Schizosaccharomyces pombe: one gene and its partners. The gene in region 3 interacts genetically with the main gene of each other region. Each region holds a gene or a part of one and is shown on either strand. Other genes may lie near its edges.

The links.
Region 1: mutations in zrt1 (region 3) and fet4 impair growth when combined (synthetic growth defect), as found in Schizosaccharomyces pombe (one study listed by BioGRID).
Region 2: of zrt1 (region 3) and zip2, changing one enhances a phenotype caused by changing the other (phenotypic enhancement), as found in Schizosaccharomyces pombe (one study listed by BioGRID).

The regions. Positions count from the first base shown.
Region 1 is NC_003423.3:325,739-332,552, forward strand, and holds fet4 (iron/zinc ion transporter), read right to left. Parts: upstream 4,592-6,814; 5' UTR 4,009-4,591; coding exon 2,254-4,008; 3' UTR 1,686-2,253; downstream 1-1,685. UniProt on the Schizosaccharomyces pombe protein: Required for Fe(2+) ion low affinity uptake. Has a role in zinc uptake under conditions of zinc limitation.
Region 2 is NC_003421.2:2,128,746-2,135,224, reverse strand, and holds zip2 (zinc transporter), read right to left. Parts: upstream 3,494-6,479; 5' UTR 3,465-3,493; coding exon 3,445-3,464; intron 2,917-3,444; coding exon 1,767-2,916; 3' UTR 1,016-1,766; downstream 1-1,015. Other genes in the region: isoamyl acetate hydrolytic enzyme Iah1, read right to left, coding at 1-523; SPOM_SPCC126.08C (lectin family glycoprotein receptor), read left to right, coding at 4,246-5,184; ubiquitin-protein ligase E3 Asr1, read left to right, coding at 5,776-6,479. UniProt on the Schizosaccharomyces pombe protein: Probable zinc transporter that may mediate zinc remobilization from the endoplasmic reticulum under zinc limitation.
Region 3 is NC_003423.3:3,604,074-3,610,531, reverse strand, and holds zrt1 (plasma membrane ZIP zinc transmembrane transporter Zrt1), read right to left. Parts: upstream 3,356-6,458; 5' UTR 2,643-3,355; coding exon 1,416-2,642; 3' UTR 1,202-1,415; downstream 1-1,201. Other genes in the region: histone deacetylase, Sirtuin family, NAD-dependent Sir2, read left to right, coding at 1-193, 258-886; cell wall alpha-1,3-glucan synthase Mok13, read right to left, coding at 5,845-6,458. UniProt on the Schizosaccharomyces pombe protein: High-affinity zinc transport protein. Regulates intracellular zinc levels.

The DNA of each region.
Region 1 (6,814 bases), 3.3 Mb from region 3:
ATGATAGATGAAATTTTATTCAGACGGTAGTTTGTTTTGTATTTACAAGTTTAATATGGAGAATATCTGATGAATAACTTATATTTTTTGAACATTGTAACCAAAAAAGAAAAAGAAAAAGAAATAAAAAAATTTATTAAATTGATTGAATATTTTGTAACGATTATTGTAACATTGGTATAGGAGGAATATAAAAATGTTGGTTTTTAAATGAGTAAAGGATAAAAATTAATTTAACTAGCAACAATATCGCCAAGATTAGCAAGCGAGTTTAAGAAGCTATTAAAGCTATAATTGACGTTGTGCTAAAAGGTGTTGTAATGTTATCAGTTTAAGGAAAATGTATATATCTTTTTGTCAAGTTTAACTATGTTTTTATTAAAAATAACAAAATTTATAATTTCTACTGGTGTGCTGCTGACCTCTGCTCGATTTCCTTAATTTGTAATAATTTTTAAGGTATAAATTTTGCAACTTAATTATCTCTCTCAGTAACGCATCAGTGGTGTAGCGGTAACATCAATGCCTTCCAAGCATTAGCTCCGGGTTCGACTCCCGGTTGATGCATCGATTAAATTTTTGATTTTGTATTGGAATCGATTTTTATATTTTTTAGTTTTTTTTTTGTTCAACGAGTAAACAATGCTTATGATGATCAAAGGAAAGCATGCTTCTTTTAGCAATAATTTGAAAAAGGGTGAGACTTAATTTCGGTCATTAATCCGCCGTGGATAGCATGGATATAACTAGATTATTATCACCCATATGCGTTTGGCAACTATTAGGTGAAAAGTATTTAATGTTTATTTTCATCCTCAGGATTTCAAGTTATTAAAATCTGTTATAATAAGTTCATCATTCAAATTAAGAAAATTCAAACAATTAGTAACTGATCGAAAAACAAAAAACGTAAAGCTCCCGGCGGGACTCGAACCCACAATCCCTTGATTAGAAGTCAAATGCCCTAGCCATTAGGCCACGGGAGCAACGTGATTTATTTAAGTATTAGCAGTATATATTGTAATTGCAAATATGTATCAAACCATCATAATTTCATAAAAAACCGAAAGGGTAATGAAAATATAGAAAAAATTAGGGTTATGATCTAGCTAAATAAATATATCACTAGATTACTGATCAACACTAAATAAAAAAATGATCTATTGTGTTGTATACCGTCATGTCCATATTTTTATTGAAATGTCAACCGATCTATCAAAATTGACACTACATGATCTAGACATGCTGAACACGGTCTACATGCCGTGCACAAAAACAAGTAAAAAATCGAATAACACGCTGCAATTGTGTCATAAACGAGTATTCTCATGACAACGATTCATTGTTTAGAAGACAAATTTGCAGTAAGCATTTCCACATTGTTCGGTATGATAGAAACCAGTATCTAGAGATTTTTGAACCCTTAATGAACTAATGTAGATTCCGTGCATGTCCAAAACGAACAGACAAACAGTTTGTATTGGAACATCGATAGTATCCATTAATTTAATATTTTCAAATTTTTTTTTTCGTAAAAAAGAAGAAAAAAAAAAGGTATGTTTTAAGAGATGACATACTATTAAAATTTTATGATTTATAATCGATCTTGCAAACATAGTAGATTACAATAAAAGCTGCTGAACTTATAAAAGGTATCCTACATTAAAGTGCACTGATTCGTTTACGGACTTGACAATTTAAAATGTAAACTGAATTTAAAAAAAGTGAATTAAATTTTCAAAAAAAAAATAAATGAAAGATAATTATTCGACATTAAGAGGGTGGAGATGGACGCAAAAAAAAATTATTGTGAGATAATAGTCCGCTCCCCATTAAAGAAATTGTTAAGTAAGTCATGAAAGGGGGTTAACAAATGGATAACAAAAATCAAAGAAATTAATCATCAACAGACGCACGTCTATGAAAATTAAATTGAAAGTCGTAACCAAGAAGCAAAGAATTTATGGAAAAAAACCTCGCAGTGGATAGCAACGGCTATAATAACCTTCAAGCCAGAAGCTAAGTAAAAAATAAAACAACATTAATAAATATTATCATTAACAACCAATCCAAGAGCATTTGATGAGAACGATTAAGCAAAGTTGCAACACTTCAGCCAAAATCCAGATATTTAATACCGAAGATGCATTATAATGAGCCCAGCTGGCTTTTGCTCAAATGAAAGCAAGCAGGCAATGATATTTCATTTCAACGGGTAGGAACTTGTTGTTTAGAAAAAAGGAACAATTAAAATTAAACAGTGCTGGTGGTTGAATAGTTATCACCGGCAAGCATTTTCAAGATTGTCAAACGACGAAGATGAATTTGTCGAAATTGGATACGACGCTTCAAGTTGGCTATATTGTGAGCCTCGATCAGAACGATCAAAAGAGCACCCTCAATAATCATAGTCGGAGTGTTACAAAACAATTGAGCAGTCTCATTGAATCTCAAGGATCCAGCTGCAATGATCAGACCAAGAATCACAAATACGGAGAAAAGAACGGAAATAGGCAACGCACACAACCAGCCGATCCACTGACTAAGCGAACCTCCGAATGTACTTTTATAGTTTGTTATGTGTTCATGAGGAAGTGGTAAATCAAGCTTTTGATAAAGGGCGTAATCCTCGTCTATGAGCGTTTGAATTTCTGTGGCTTCTTTGGAACTTTCGCGGAAATAGACATTTCTCAAAACGAAACCATCTAAGAAACCAACAAGACCGGTATAAGTACCAATAATAAGCCACCAATTTGAATCCCAATGCATAACATTTCCGATGGCAATCCAAGCTACAAACACGCAAGTACTAACGACCACACCAACACCAGAACCGATTAAATCAGCATAATAATCAATGGATCTCTCACCAAGATTGATCTTATCCATTTTAATGGTTATTTCTTCATTTGGTTCTTTATCACCCATCATTCTGCGCAGCTCTTCTTCTATTACTGAATCGATGCGGAAGATAGATGTGACACAACGATCAATATACTTCATATGACGGTGTCGAACATTTTGAAGGAAAACAGAGGTAAAGGTCAACTCGACGGCAACAGCGGTATTAATATACAACTGCCATTCATCGGACCATCCTAGCATACGACCGAATCCAATCCAAATAAAGATTCCAATCCAGTATACGACAAGGAAGATAATGGAGCCTACCATAAAACTAACGTAATTGCAAATAAAATCAAACCAATTTTCAGTAGGTAACTTTTCAGCATCACCCACATCGTCTTTCATTAGTGCAACGTTTACGGAAGAAATTTTGGTTTTGTCATTTAACACAGGGCCCAATAGACGACTGGTAGTAAGAAGACGTGAACGCAATTGGGAAATCATAGTTAGTACTTGGATATGTTGATTCTGCTGTTGACGCATAAGCAATGTGTCGGAAACATAACATTGAATAGAACTGCCATCTTGCATAACGATTTGCCAATTATCAGGAGCGCGATAAATACCACCTACGATTGCCCAAACGATAAGGATAATTAGCATAAGGATAAAAGTAAAACTTGTGCCAGCCAATCTTGTGATCAAATCGAAGATTCGTCCACCAATGTCAACATGTTTAAATCTGATATAATCACGCACATTCTTATGCTTGTGTTTTTTCTCATCAGAATCGACCTTTGTCTTTGTTCCATCATCATTGGTGACGAGAGTGGAGGCACTATTGGCATAGTCATCGCATGAGCGTACAAGTTGAGTAGGGGCGGCAACGCAAACATCGTGTTGTCTACCTGGAGAACAGATTAAATCCCAAACGCGAGCGCCGAAAGAAAGCTTCTTTTTTGTCTCGGGTTCGGGTGTAGCAATTCCATCAGGGGAAGGGATTTCTTCAGTAATGGGGGAAGCGAAGTCTTTCTTTTCGTTAAGAGAAATGGAAAAGTCAGCGCCTTTTTTCTCAAACGAAGGGGAATGTTGGAGATGAGAGACTGATTCGACGTTGGACTCTTCAGAAATACTGTCGATTTCTGTGATAGAGGCAGTCATAATGAAACACAAATAGGAAAGGAAGGAAGAAAGAAAGAAAAAGACTTTTATGAAACAGATAAAAGAAGAACAGATGGAAGGGATAACAAGAAACAGTTAAAAAGGTAAGAACTTTTGAAAGACAAAAGAACAGTTAGAAGGAAAAGACTTTTGAAAAAAACACAAAAGAAGAATTAACAATTTATGGGGGGGTAAAGGAGAGTAGTAATAAAAAAATGCAGCAACAACCAAAAGTTGAAAGGCTCTAATGTTTAAAAAAGAAAAGTGAAACAAACAGCAAAGCAAAAGCAAAGGTAAAAGCGAAAGCAAAAGCAAGCAACCCAAAATCAACCAAACTAAAGCAAAAGCTTTTAAAGAGAAAAAATATAAATTAAAAAGAAAAATAAAACTTAAAAAGCAGTCGCTCCAAAGAAAATGAAAAAAAATAAAATAAAAAAGCAAATATGGGTTGGTGGGACGGTTCAGGCGATATGGTTAAATGCTATCCACACCTCAATATTTATCTGATTGCTTTTTCCTATATGATACTCGGATTCACCAGACTTCTCTTAACAAGCAATCCCTCAAAATCCAAGATAAACTTGAACTGATAAGCGTAGATATGCATGCTCTATATAGTATTTTTTCAATGACTATTTTTGATAAGGAGTGTGGAAAAAAACTTACGTTTTGTTGTAAATACGGATGCTGCCAAAAGATGCTACCCTTGGAAACAATCGACGAGACCAAGAGAGAAGAGGTAGACAAAATTTCAATGACACCACTTTGAGGGTTTTTTTCTTACAGGGAAGGAAAAAAGAAAAAAGCGCTGCCACGTAATGTTTAGTGAACAGAGTCAAGGTCAAAAAGAGAATAGTCGAGATGAATAACATGCTATGTTTTTAAGCCATGCCATAGGGGTAAAGGTGTAAGGTGTAAGGTAAATAAGAAATGAAATAAATAAAGACATTTCATTAATCAACATGAATATGAGCTAGCTGGAGTAAGAAGTTCGCTAGTAAATGATTTTGTATTGAGATCGACATCTTTTTCGTAATGTATTGCATTTTATTGAATTGAAATGTCGGTGAGTCGAGAGAAAAGTGAGTATCCCTTGATGGAAACGAGAAATTCAGTCAAATGAACGGATGCGGATTTTCCGGGGTTAATAGAAAAGTAGCGATTGGAACGGATTGCTTGAGTTAAGGAAAAGGATGTACGAGAGTCCGAGCAAAGATGACCGTTTTCCAGGATGGAAGGATCATGAAAAAGTTGCCAAGTGACATGTTCCGTTCCAAGAAAGAATCAGATTTGGAACTGGAAGCGGGCAGTAGAAGAAATTGACGAAAGGACTTTGTCTAAGAGGAAGCGGATGGGAGGAAAATCCTTTTTGTCAGTATGGAAAATCAGCAAGTTTAACAAGCCTAGTATATGATGAAGCGAAAGAATATGAGTATGGTAGGAAATGAAATGTGGTGAAAGAAAAGAAAAAGAAATAAAAGGATGAAAAATGAAAAAAAAAGAAGTAAATCTTTAAGAAAAGAAAGAGTCTAATATTTTTGATGATTTAATCGCAAACATTCTTGTTCATATTGCAAGAAATCATCACCTGATCAGATATTGTATCGCAATTGTTGTTGTTTAACAGATGAAGTAACTTTTTCCCCAGGGATTTCATTCAGTTTAGGGAAGAAAAAAAAAAGTAGGTTGGAAAAGGCATACGATAAGATATGAAAAGGCAACAGGACACAAGACAACCAAACGCATAATCCCGCAAGGCAAAACTAGGCAAGCAAGTCAAGCCAAGTCGCAAGATCTATGTTGTTGTGTTGGAATAGTAATGGCGAGATTGATGGTGAATTTCAATAGAATGTCACATTAGCGATAATGTGAGTTGATTTAGCTGAATGAGTAATTTCGTTGAATGAATATTTTAGCAGAAATGGAAATTTGAGATGCAGATGTGGATGGATATGTAAGCGTGAATGAAAACTCTAGTATTTTATTTTTATCTGATGAAGGGGGAAATAGAAAGGGAAATTACCAAGGGGAATTAAGAGGTTGAAAAATACAAAGTTGAATTACTTTAATTACTAAACTAAATACTAATTAAATTATTAAGCTGGACAATTTTTCTATAAAGTTTCTTTCATAATCTCTTTTTGCATCTTTTTTTTTTTTTTTTATTGAGCTCTCTCACTTTACGACATTTTCAACTCACGAGACTTTCTGCTACCTGATGCAAGCAGCGCCGAATGAAATAAAATAATAAATAAAATAAAAAGCTCAAAACAAATTAGACATATCTTTATACCCGAATCTAACAATGCATCTAACTAAATAAGAAAACTTGTCTACTTTACCATGCAATATCAGATGTGTGAAAATGCTTTTTGCAAACATATCAGATGTGTTGAAAATAGAAATTAGCATATCTGATATCCCAAGAAAAAAGAATTTTTTTTTTTATCGTACGTCTAGACAAAATATTTTACTTTTTCTAACCATCAAAGTTGCGAAACTTAATATATATCTGATTCATACTACTTTTTTTAAAACAAATATGATAAAACATACGTATCCTATACGGAACCTCATAGCCATAGATTTCTTGTAGCCCAGAATATTCAAGTACAGTGTTTCAAACCATCTGAACTCTAGTAAAATGAAATTGTCTACATACGATTTTAATTCATGTTTCAAACTATTACAAAAAAAGAAGATGCTATTGAATTTAATGTCACTTTTTCTCACTCCACTTCAATTCTTATTATTTATATTTTCTTCTTTTTATTCATCTAATTAGTTTTTTTTTCTTATTTTATTT
Region 2 (6,479 bases), on a different chromosome or scaffold from region 3:
ATTTATTAAGGGTGTTCACTGTTTCAGAAGCAGCAATTACATATGGCTCTTGTTCACGTTTAAAACAAATGTCCTTTGTACATATACCGGGAGATACTATGATAATCTTAGAATGAGGAAATGGTCTGGTAAGTGCTAACAAATTGTTTTTAAATTCATCTACGGGGCACATGTATCCGGTTTCAGTTAACTGACAGTCGTTTGTTCCTAAGAAGACGATTAACAATTTTGTACTGTCAATTTCCAGTGGAATTTCCGGTAAATATCTTAAAACATGTCTTGAAGTATATCCTGAGAAACCCCAAACATCGACTCGTAAACGCCTTTGGTAAAAGTTCATTAATTCGGCACAATATCCTCCAGGCGTGAATCCCTTCTGTGTTATAGAATCTCCAATGATAGTTAATCGGTTGAAATATTTCTTTTGAAAAGAAACGTATTTCTCTGCCGGAGCCTCTGAAACGATCTGCCCAATCTCGGTCTTCTCGAAAGAAATATAATTCTTATCTTGAGAGTCTGACATTTAGGATTACTCGTAGAAATCTATATGAACTTTGTTCAATAATTTTTTTCTATCCAGCTATTAGAACCTTTTCGGTAAGCCTAATGGTAATTGCTTCCACGAAAATCAAAATACGAAAGTTTTTAGCAGAGTATGTATGATATCCTGAGTAAAAATGTGTTGCTAAAAAAGAGAATGATTACAAATAAAATCTCCTATGATATTTCTACTTTTCACTTATAGTGTGAATTTGAGGAATTAGCCAACTTATCAACCGCTAGTGAACGCAGACTATAAAAAGGTGAAGGAAAACCGTCCTTAGCTACACTAGTGTTTACTAAGTATGAGGACCTATTTATAAAAAATTTCGATTTTATGGTCTAAAAAATCAGCTATAAAGCCTTATTTTTATTATAAACGGTGTCAGAACTTCCATATGCGTTTACTTATAACAAAACAATAAATCTATCTAAACATACTTCAAAGCAACATTTCAAAAGCTTCTTGTGCATTGCAATACTGATTATTCTTCTTTGAATTGGATACACATTGCTATTTATAAACACCAAATAAGCATGATCTTAAATAACTTGTAGGAATTGAATGAACAGAATATATTAGAAGTGTGCGCATCAAGATTAAGCTGGAACACTTGCGTATAATCAATCTCCAAATCCAAGCGTATTATTATTAATTACGATAGTGATATTCAAAGCGCTTTTTTAAGAGTGCCAGTTTTTTTTTTAATATCAAATTAACAATCAGGTATGATACTTAATAAATCGATACAGAATTCATTAAAAATCTGCGAAACGGGAAGGAGCATACAAACTGTAACGAATTGCCATTTATATTTAAATTGATATTAAAAAAAATACACAAGATTGAAAAAGTTTAGCCTTGTATCCACACATCGCAGGTGTTAAATTAATAAACCGGAAGTATGACCATTAAATGTCTCAAAACCTAAAAACTGAAATAAAGCGGATGAAAGAGAAGGAACACAAATAATAATATTATAAAAAAACAATAAATTTAAGAACTGAGAAGAATTAGTACCGAACAAATTTTGCCAATATAGTATATTAGCATGGCAGCAGAGAGACACAAAACCATATATAAAAATTGTGTTCGGTATATTAAATTTACTTCAAGAAAGGGAAGTAAAACATCGATGAAAGGGAGAAGGGCTTCTAAGGCAATGATATGCCAAATATACTATTAAGTTTTTGTTATCGTTTTTAAAGTAAGCGGGAAGGAAACACTAATGGCTATCAAAGATTTCCAAAAATAAGGTAAAAAGTATACCAATTGTAAAGCAAATGAAAGAGTGCCTTTTATTTTCTGAATGATCGTGTCTTAAAGCTTCAGGAAGAATAACCCGAAGAGAAAGAATTAGCATCATGCCCGCTGTTCCAGCAAATATAATTCCATAGAGAAAATTAAGAAAATCCGAAGAACCAATACCTCCAGCCTCCATTACAAGAAAGGCTATTAAAGAACCAAGAGGTAAACTGCAACTGCTAAGCGTGGCGGCGGTAAGGAAAGCTTTAGGACGAGATTTCCATGCAAGATAAAGGGGATACGCAATTGTGAAACCTTCAACAATATTATGAATACTCATTGCAACAAGGACCATAAACCCCGTATCAACGGTAGAGGCTAAGAAGGTGATGAAGCCCTCAGGCACCTTGTGAAGACAGATAAGCAAAGCGGTCTGGATGCCCATAGTATAAACGGAATGAATATGCTCAATATCATCAGGAGTTCCTGAGTGCGTTGGAAAACTGGAGAAGTGCGCATGACATTCACAATCGCAATTAGAGGGTTTTTTTACTAAATATTCATGAACAGAATCAGAAGAATGTCTAGCGGAGCTATCCTCCAACAATAATGATCCTTCATGAAGATGAGTACCGCTTGGACAATAACTTCCTTGCAAAGATCCAACAACTCGGCTAGATGGGGAACCACTCGATTCACAAGACGATAAACGCTTACAAGATGCAGGAGGACTACGGTGGTTTTGTGCGGTGGAGGGCGAGGGATCACTTACGGAGAAATGATCATGCAAAAAACCAGTTTGGCTTGATTCGTGAAGCCATTTGTGAAGAAAGTGATTAAAAATGTAAAACACTATACCGCCGAAAAAGAAAGCACAAAACTGAAATACACGCACGAGAAAAGTATCGAACATAGAAATTTTCTCTAAGAAGTGAAAGGATTCTTGCATCACGCTAGCCCATGAGCTATACAATAAAATACCGGAGCTAGTAGCGAGACCTGTTACAAGGGCATTATCGCTGTTTGCTAAATCAAGCACTTCGTAACCAAACCATTTGTTGACTAATTTATCGAGATATATTCCACTAGCACCAAATACGCAAAAAGCATTAATAGAAAGGCTTAGTATCCTAAGTTGACAAGTAGTTAGTAAAAAAAAAGTAAGTAAAAAAAGACCACAGCAATCATAAAATTCTTTAGATAGATGTAAAAAAAGGCGTATGCTCATCTCAGTCATCAACAAATTAGCTTGATGTTTAGAACCGCATTTGTTTTTGAGGTTTTAATAACTGTCAAGCAGAATACACTAAATGAAGACAATGGAATATTGAATTGAAAATCAAAGATATAAATCCATTTCCAAATATCGCAAGCAGAACGGTATAACAAAAGCCTTGACATGATATACGATTTTCATCCATAGCCAAACATGAAAAGATAACCAACAAGTACGTCCACTAAATTCAATTTGAATTTTTTATCTGACAGTCAAGATTTCAACAAATCGATAAAGCAAATTCCGAACATCAAGAATGGATTTCCGTGACGAAGATCCATTTTCCGATTTATTACCAATTCATCAGATCTCCAACAATCAAGACAAGAAAAACAAATGATCTTAAAAGAAAAAAAGAAAACATAAAAAACAGATTACTTACCAGCCTTTTGAATTATTCATGACTTTAAATATGGAAATTACTTGAGTATGGTTGGAGCATGGCTATAGTAGCTCATTTATGAAATTCTAAAATCATTCAACAGTACGTTAAAAATAATAGCGTTGCGGATGGGATCGACATTCTATATAACGAATTTATTGAAATAAAGTATTGACGTTAACCACTTTAGCATATTTTTACTGAGATTGCTTTGTTATATCGATGAATTGGAATTTCAGTTTGAAAGTATTTCTTGGCAGTTGGACAATTAGAATATCTTTCAATCATCACACGATCTAAGCTTGTTCTCTAAAAATCTTGTCTATTTCTGCTGAAAGGACCTGTTGTGACCATTCAGCACGATCGTACCGATTGAAGGAAGTCAAGGTTTGCAAGCTTCAAGTTTGGGTTGTATAATACTATCATCTAAAAGAAAATAAAAACTAAATTTATGACCTGGTCCTATGAAAATCCATTTGTTTTATTTCATCGACAAAGCAAATAAACATTGGGCGTTTCAAAGGTCTTTCATTCAAACAAAGCATGTTCCAAAACTTGACTTAGAAATGAAGTAAACGAAGTTAATGCTAAATTTTCTAGGTCTTTACTCTCTACTCTTTGTGATTTTACAGCTTTTACAATTGATTTCAGCTCTGCCTGCCTCTATTGTTTATTATTTCAGGTGACACGTGACCTACTTGGGAATTCTGGCATTGGAAGCACACTGACTCACTTGACCACTACAAACGACACGCAGCAGAAGTGTGGACTGCGTTCTTTTAAAAAAAGGCGGTATTTAATATGTTTTTCTCAGTAAAGAATGTTTTCCTTTTGGGAATCTTTGGGTTTGTTCTTGGTGCATTGGCAGAAACCAGTCACTTGGAGCGTCTGTCTTTGGAAGCTCCTTACATCAACCATGGTATGAGAAACTTATGGTGGGAATATGGTGGTAGCACTGTTATTGATAGAAAGAACGGTATTTTCTTGACCCAGGACGTCCAAAACCAACAGGGATGGATTTCCACCCGTTTACCAACACCGTCTAGCAGCTTTGAAGTCCTTTTTCAATTTCGTATTAACAGTGAATCAACCTCCCTTTTTGGAGATGGTCTTGCGTTTTTTTTAGCTGCTGAGCGCGCCAAACCTGGACCGGTTTTTGGATTTACGGACAAGTTTAATGGTTATGGCATTTTTATTGATACGTACAACAACCATCGTCCGGGAACTTTATTCCCTCGTGTAATTGTGATGAAGGGGGATGGACATACTCCTTATGATTATGAAAACGATGGCAAAGCCAATGAGATTGCAAGCTGTTCTGCTTTGAACGTTCGCGGAAATGACTATAATTTGGGTAAACTAAAATATGACAAAAATGCCAAAAAGCTACGTTTTGAAATTGCTTATCAAGGTTCTTCTAGCTTTATTAAATGTTTTGATCTTAATGAAGTCGAATTACCTCTTACCACCTTTATGAGTTTCAGCGCTCATACTGGTGATTTAAGTGAATCCCATGAAATTGCCAGTATTTTGAGCCGTACAATTACCGATATTGACGATGAGGGAACTCCGGAAATTCCTGCTGAGGAATTGAAAGGTACTACTTATGGACAGAAGAAGGGTTCCTTCAAAAAGCGTCTCATTATTTTGCTCCTCTCACTTATTGTCATCTTTTCCATCTTTGCCCTTCGCTCTTATCAGGTTCAACAAGAGAAGAACCGTCGTACGACCGTACTTTAAAGCAAAAAGTCTTTCTGCGAATTTTCTTTCTTTCCGCAGCACGATTTTCATATATCTCAACGATATTGATTTCCATATCGTCTAGTACTTTATTTTCTCATAAACCCATACTTCTTCCTTGCCACGATATGTTATGTATTAATCGCCTTTTCTTTCACCTCTTCATTCTCTTTTCATTCAATATGAAATTAACATTACCATAATAAAGTATCGTTCGTTCACATTTCTATATCTTCCCTATAATATATGTGATAATTCTTTTTCTAAAATTATTCTTTCACTTTCAAACTCTTTAACCGTTTAAACTGTTCCTTCCTTGTTATTAAACTATTCATTTCCACTCTGCTCCCAATACTGTCGATCGATCACTTTCATTATGATAATGTAGTACAGTGGAAATTGTTAATATACTTTACAAATCTCTCTCGTTTGCGTAACTTCAAAATAACGTTAGTAAACTCGTTAAACAAAATGTTGAACCCCTTAAAGAGCCAGTTTTCCTTCTCTCCTTCTACCATCACCTTCGTTGTATAACTACTGCTTTACGCCCCCACCACCAAATGCCCCGTTGTGGTTCCGGCCCCCACATTAATGAACGCTGAAGAAGATCCAAAGCCGGCAGATTCTGATAGCTCTGAAGAGTGTATCATCTGTCTTAGTAATTTACCAAATTGTCCCTTAGATCAATGGGATTCCAGTAGTGTTCCCGCTTCGATTTCGTCGACCTTGGATGGTCTTCGAATTGCGAAAATTCCTTGTGGACATTATTTTCACAACCACTGCTTGGAATCATGGTGCAGAGTTGCAAATACATGTCCTCTATGTAGAACGGAGTTTCTTAAAGTTGACGTACTTGAATTCGTGAAGGGACCCTGGTATCGTGCATACCCTGTGGAGGAGAAAACCCAAAGCGTTGCCAATGCTGGCGAGCCGTTTGAAGACGAAGGTTCCGAAACCTGTCGCTGTGTCATATGTGGCCGCTCTGATCATGCTGAGGTGCTTTTGTTGTGCGATGGGTGTGATGATGCATATCATACATATTGCTTAAACATGGATGCAGTACCTATAGAAGAGTTCTATTGCCCTAATTGTGTATTGTTAAACTATCAAGAAAATGAAACACTCTCTTCACGTATTTCTCTTTCTCGAAGAGGCCAGACAAGACGCAGAAGGGTAGGAGCAGCTGCTCGTGCCTCGCGAGTTTCTCAACAACAGCAGCGTGCATGGACACGTGCTTGGAATGCCATTAGAAATCGAGCTTGGGATGCATTGAATTCAGATCTCTCATATTATGG
Region 3 (6,458 bases):
TTTAGAGAAAATCCAGAAATTTTTTATACTTTTGCTAGAGATCTTTTGCCGGAGACGAATCATTATTCCCCCTCGCATGCCTTCATTAGATTGCTTGAAAAGAAGAATAAATTATCAACATTGTTTACCCAAAATATAGACAATTTGGAAAAAAAGACTGGACTCTCCGATAACAAAATTATTCAATGTCATGGTAAGTATTTATTTTCCGATTTGCATCTCGAGCACTGGTGATTTTGTCTAATTTGATTATATAGGGTCTTTTGCTACCGCAACTTGTATCAAATGCAAGCACAAGGTGGATGGATCGGAGTTATATGAAGACATAAGAAATCAAAGAGTTTCTTACTGCAATGAATGCGGAAAACCACCCTTAAAATTAAGAAGAGTCGGTCAAAATAAAAAAGAGAAACATTATTTTTCAGATGGTGATAGTGAATCTTCTGAAGATGATCTAGCTCAACCTGGGATTATGAAACCTGATATCACATTTTTTGGGGAAGCCTTACCGGATTCTTTCTTTAACAAAGTCGGGAGTGGTGAGCTTGAAGAGACTGATTTATTAATTTGTATTGGAACTTCTTTAAAAGTGGCTCCTGTTTCAGAACTCATCAGTGTTATTCCTCCTACTACTCCTCAGATTTACATTTCGAGGACTCCTGTTCGTCATACCCAATTCGATGTAAATTTTCTAAGTCCTTATTGTGATTGGGTTATTGTGGAGATTTGTAAACGTGCTGGATGGCTGAATGAATTACAAGCGCTTTGCGATTTACCTGAGTGTCATAGTGGTTCCAAAACGCGAGCTTTCGAAACGGATTTGGATATAAAATTTGAGGAGCCCAGCACCTATCATATCACGAGCACAACAAACGGTAGTTGTTAATTTTAGGACTGATCGATCTATCGAAGTTGAATGTAGAAGCAAATATATTATATACATATATCGAGTATGAGAGCCAGATTATTGGACATTAACTTATTATCCGTTTGAGACTTCTTAGTTTTGTAAGTGCCATTGTTAAAAACTGTTTTTTCTCTTCGCACCTAATGTTTAAATCTGCTAAACTGGGTGAAAACACATTAAAACAAGTTATAATACATTTTACAATACCAAGGACTGTGTAATTAGTAAATGAACATTGAAGCAAATTACATTCATAGGCTATGCAAAATTAGCTACTTTTTTAAGCATAGTAAATCAGTGAAAATGACACAATTATTATTTAAAATTGAAAGATTGATTGGTACATATCAATACAACCAATGAAGCATCTAATTGTACGATACTAAAGAGAAACAACTGAAAACGGACAATTAGAAATTGGTCAACGATATTGACACTCAAACTCAAAAGAAGAAAACAGATTTAATGAAGAATATAAAATGCACGGATCATCGAAAAAGCCACCAAATCAAGCCCATTTACCTAACAAAGCCATAACTCCAGTACCAGCCATCGAGCATGCCAAAAGGTAAATAAGCTTATACCAGTTACGTTCTCTTTCAGGACTAAATAAGAAATCGTGTGCAAGTAATTCCACTAAACCAGCATAAACCAAAATTCCAGATGAGATAGCATCCAAAACACCTTGGGCAGCATAAGACCCATGAGCAAGAGGATCCCAATGCTCACGAACACCTAAACCAGCTGCCATACCAATAGGCGTAACCAACGAATAGATAACGCCCAACACCCAAGGTACCCATGCAGTTTTTGGGCCCCAGGCCATTCCCGCCAAACGAGAACCTAAACCACAACCTTCAAAGGCCTGATGGAAAATAATGACGGGAAATAAAGTTTTAAATTCTTCACCTGAGACGGCAGTTGTAAGACCGATAATAACACTATGCAAAATGATACTAGATTCAAGAATTATAAAGGCAGTAAGTTGTTGCTTTAGTAAGAAACTACGAGCTTCTTCTTTAGTAGTCAAATCGGTACTATCAGTATTCGTATAAGGTTCTAGTTTTACTTCTTCCAAGTCATCCTTTACACATTCATGCTCAACACCATCGGCACATTCTTCAATATCATAAACTGGATGTTCATGAACACCGTGAGCACCGTCTTCGTGACTATGACTGTGTTGTTTGGCACCAAGAGTTGGACCATGATGATCGCCGATTTCCATACCGAACCGCCATTCCACATAGCGATTCAAAAGGACCTCCAACAAGAGAATAAACCAACAAGAAATAAGACAAATACCTGGAGCCCAATCGTAACCTCCGAAAAGGTCGTCAAGACAAGGATCGTAAAGCTTGTTACAAGCAGGGGCTAACAAGTGAATAAAAGCAGTAGCCAAAATAACACCAGAACCAAAATAACGAGCGAATAGATAGAGATATTCAATATAAACGTTGGGTCTGTTTTTGGTGATTTTAGAAAGGACCAAAGGTAAGTTCATGCCAATTAATGAAGTAGCCAAGATAACAAAGATGGCACCAATACGATATCCCAGATGACCATATTCGTTGAATTCATTGGCATCACCTCCACAAGTCACAGTAGCAGAGCTATCATCGTCTCTTTTTACCAATGGACTATATTGCTTATTAAGAAAAAGATGTCTCAATATTTGGTGAGATTCTTGAGCAAGATATTGATTATATGAGTTAGATAAATTGTTTAAAGACATTTTAATGTACGAGAAAGATACAAGATATAACTCAACAGGGCAAAGTTTGTTTTCAACGAAAAACGTTAAAGAGAGTGAAAATGGAATAGAAATTTTTTAACAACCTCCGAGCTGAGCAGAACGAGTTAAAGGGAGCAATAAACTGAGAGGATAATAGTTTAATTAAGCAACGAGGAAATACCAAACGAAACCTGAAATCCAAAACCAAAAAAAATTAAAAAAAAAAATAACAAATGAGAAAGCGGGGAGTTGATTGAACGAACAATAATTAAGGGAAAAGCAAAATACGCGATAGGCGCACAGGAGGAAGACAAAAAGGGAATAGGTTGAAGTTGCAAAGAAAGATCTCCAAATAATCGATATTTTCTACCACAAAACAATAGCAAAATACCTTAGGAATCCAAAGTGGTTTAAAAAAACAAAACCAATACAAAAAATGAGTGATAAGATCTACAACCAAAAAAAAAAAGCGATCGTCCTTTTGGTTTTTTGGCTGATTGTATTCACTTAGTATTAGCAACGTAAGAGTTGAAGCAGGAGTGATCAGCAATCTCACTTGATAACGAAATCAATCAAAATAATCGTAAAACTGAACTTATAAACTGCCTTATTTTCTGCCAAATCAATCGATAAAGGATTTGCAGCGTAGAATACAAGATTGATAACGTACTCTAACAAAACCTAACAGAATACAAACAAAATACTCGGATCGTGGCTGGAATGAAAGGATCTGCTTTCTTTATATAAAGCCTTGGACTGTTTTTTTGACTGTCATTCTAATGATGTGCGAATCGACGTACAAGGGATAGCAACGACAGGTAACATGGTAATTTTGCACAGGAAAATTTGTACAGATCACCACGTATATCACTTGAAAGTCGGGATAACCAAGGTTTAAGGATCGACGCTTGAAAATAGGTAAGTAAATAAGCACCTCGAACCACCACACTAGATAGCAAACTGAATAAAAAGAAAACGACCCCAAGTGAAAGAAAATTCTTACAAACATTCAAATTAAAAAGAGAAATTTGAAGGATAGAACGAAGCAATGAATTAAGATTCGTTGAAATTCTATACTCTCAACACACACAAGTCGCATGTCCTTTTTGCATGACAACACATCACTTGACTAAATTGTAGACAGCATCTACTAAAAATAGGTAAATTTTATTTGCAGATTGACGTCGATCTGTCACAACCATCTTATTATTATTTCAGAAAAAAAAAAAGGACCAGTCGATGGTAGTATCGTAACTGGTGCCAAAAGGGGATCGCCACATGGAACAATCCATGATCTTTTTTTTTTGCACTATCAGAGGACGGAGTGTTTTAATACACTGCTTGAATACAGTTTAGTGTCAACTACAGTAAGACATTCAATTTTGACGAATAATTAAAATATTTTATATTGATTTTAAAAAGTATTTGATAATGAGCCCACCACTTTGGGAACAAATATGAAAATCAACTTAGGAGATTCAAGTCTAGAGCAATAAATCACGGGGAAAGTGTCATGACGATCGAACGCTTATCAGAAAATCCGATAATCATTTCTTTTTCCAACTTGAAGCAACTTAAAAAGAACTTGAAAGAAAAGCGTTACGTTCATAATGAGCTTGCACAAAAAGATTTACACATACCACATACCTTAGAAACACTGAGAATGAGAAATTTTTAAAGAAGTTCCTCTAATGCATTTTGCGCTCGGATTCGATGGTTTTCGGAATTTTAAATTTTGCCGAGTTGCGCAAACCTGGTGTAAATTGAAAAGGTAACCCTCGTACACAGGAGCTTCGTCGCACATTACTTCAAATAGACAATTGTTAAAAAATTGAATTTTTTTTACATGTCACTCTGTTTTATTATTGGGAATAGAGTAAATCTAGAAATTGTATGTGCTGATGTCTAATCACAATCTTGTTTGAGGCGGTAACTTATATGCTTTTTGTTAAGTGCTTTAGAGAAAGGACTCCAGGGTAGGAATCTTGGAAAAGCAGAATTTTTTTCTTTTTTTGAAACAAAAGATAAAGAATTTTGAGTCGCATTGGTATGTACTGCCAGTTTTATCTCAATATTTTTTGTATAGCTTTGTATGCAAGTTTTTCGCGGTACTATATAATTGTCGCTCTATCAGATCGAAATACTAAGCTGAAATTGATTTGCAAAGCTATAATAATATGAACAAGGGAAAAAAGAAGAGAGAAGGAAGCGAAAGCAATATTGAGCTTCTCTAGTTATCATCTTCTATAAACCAAATCTGCATTGTTTGTCCTGAACCTTTCTCTCGTTGTCCGTCAGCCAACATCTCTAGATTATTTATCGTTCCATGGATCGACATGTTCTGATTTATCGATCGCTGTTTTCGACGAAGATCCTAATAAAATTTCACTGCTTCTCCAAGAATATCCATATAACAAAAAAAAAAACGTAACAATTATAATTTTTTTTATTTAAGATGCAATATTTCTTTATTAATTCATTATATTTTTTATTATTAATTATTTATTTATTTAAATATTTATTGATTTATTGACCTCCTTCTATTGTTTTAAACATTTAAAATTCGAAACTATAAACAGTGCGTCCCTACAAGATGCCATTCGAAAATTTTCTAATAGAACTTGAAATTTGCACAAGGATCTAGTTTGTATCAAAACGCCATAATCAAGTAGTTCCCTTTTTTATATTCTCCGATCAATTTGCCCAGCGCTAAGAAACTTGTATAAGACAATATAAAGCATAAAAAATTATATATGGATTATATAACGATAAAATTTATTTTATTTTATTATGAATCATTTTACTATACAGCTAGAGATATTCTCCTTACTTTGCAGCAATATCTAATTGTCTCCGTTAAAAGATTGCATCGGGAATTTCTATGGGGTTTACCGTTTTCAAATGATTAATAATTTTTTCCCACAAATAATTGTACACCCCTCTCAAAGTTTCCTATACACATACAATTAGTTAAAAGAATATAATTAAATAAAGAAATTCTATAACATTAGTATATGAAATTGAGATTTCGATTGATTTAAATTTAAAGCTTTATGTTGCTTATAACCATGCTTTTGAATTCTGCCAAAGTATTAACTTTTATATCATAATTCATTCATTAATTTTACATTTCTGTAAATGGCTAATAAATAATTAACAAACATTATTATATATCAAGAGACCCATTTAAAACTCTTCATATTTAAGGCCGACTTAAATTTTCTCGGCGAAAAAACAACAAGTAACCAGCACTAACAGCAATTTGTGAAATCAAACAAATCCAAAACGGTGCACTTCTGAATATTTTTGCACCATCTTCGAACCTCCATGATGTCAAATCTAAAAAGACGAGTCCAGGACCAAGTCGATTTGGTGCGGTTGCCCTTGCTAACATTGAAGTCAACGTTCCGATAATTTGTCCAGCAATTAGAGTTGTAGCAATGTGCCTTCTAGTAAGTGTCTGCAATAAAATCATTCCAACCCCAACACCTTGTACCGAATCTAAGACACCCAGCCAAATCCATAAGATTCGACCAACAATTGGACCAGCTACTCCAGCCCATGGAAGATAAACCCCTATATTGCTAGTGCCCCACATCATTTGCAACCATCGGGGAGATCCCAGTCCTACCCCAAAAACCGGCAGAAGCCAAGAATGGGTAAGCGACTTTCGTCCGAGAAACATCAACATAATGATCCACATGCTCAAGAACAAAAAAAATGCTATAGTCAGCATTTTCCATGGAGCTAACAATGAACCACCCCAGAGATATTTCCACGATCTACCATATAAGGTAGATAGCCAGTAATTTTGAA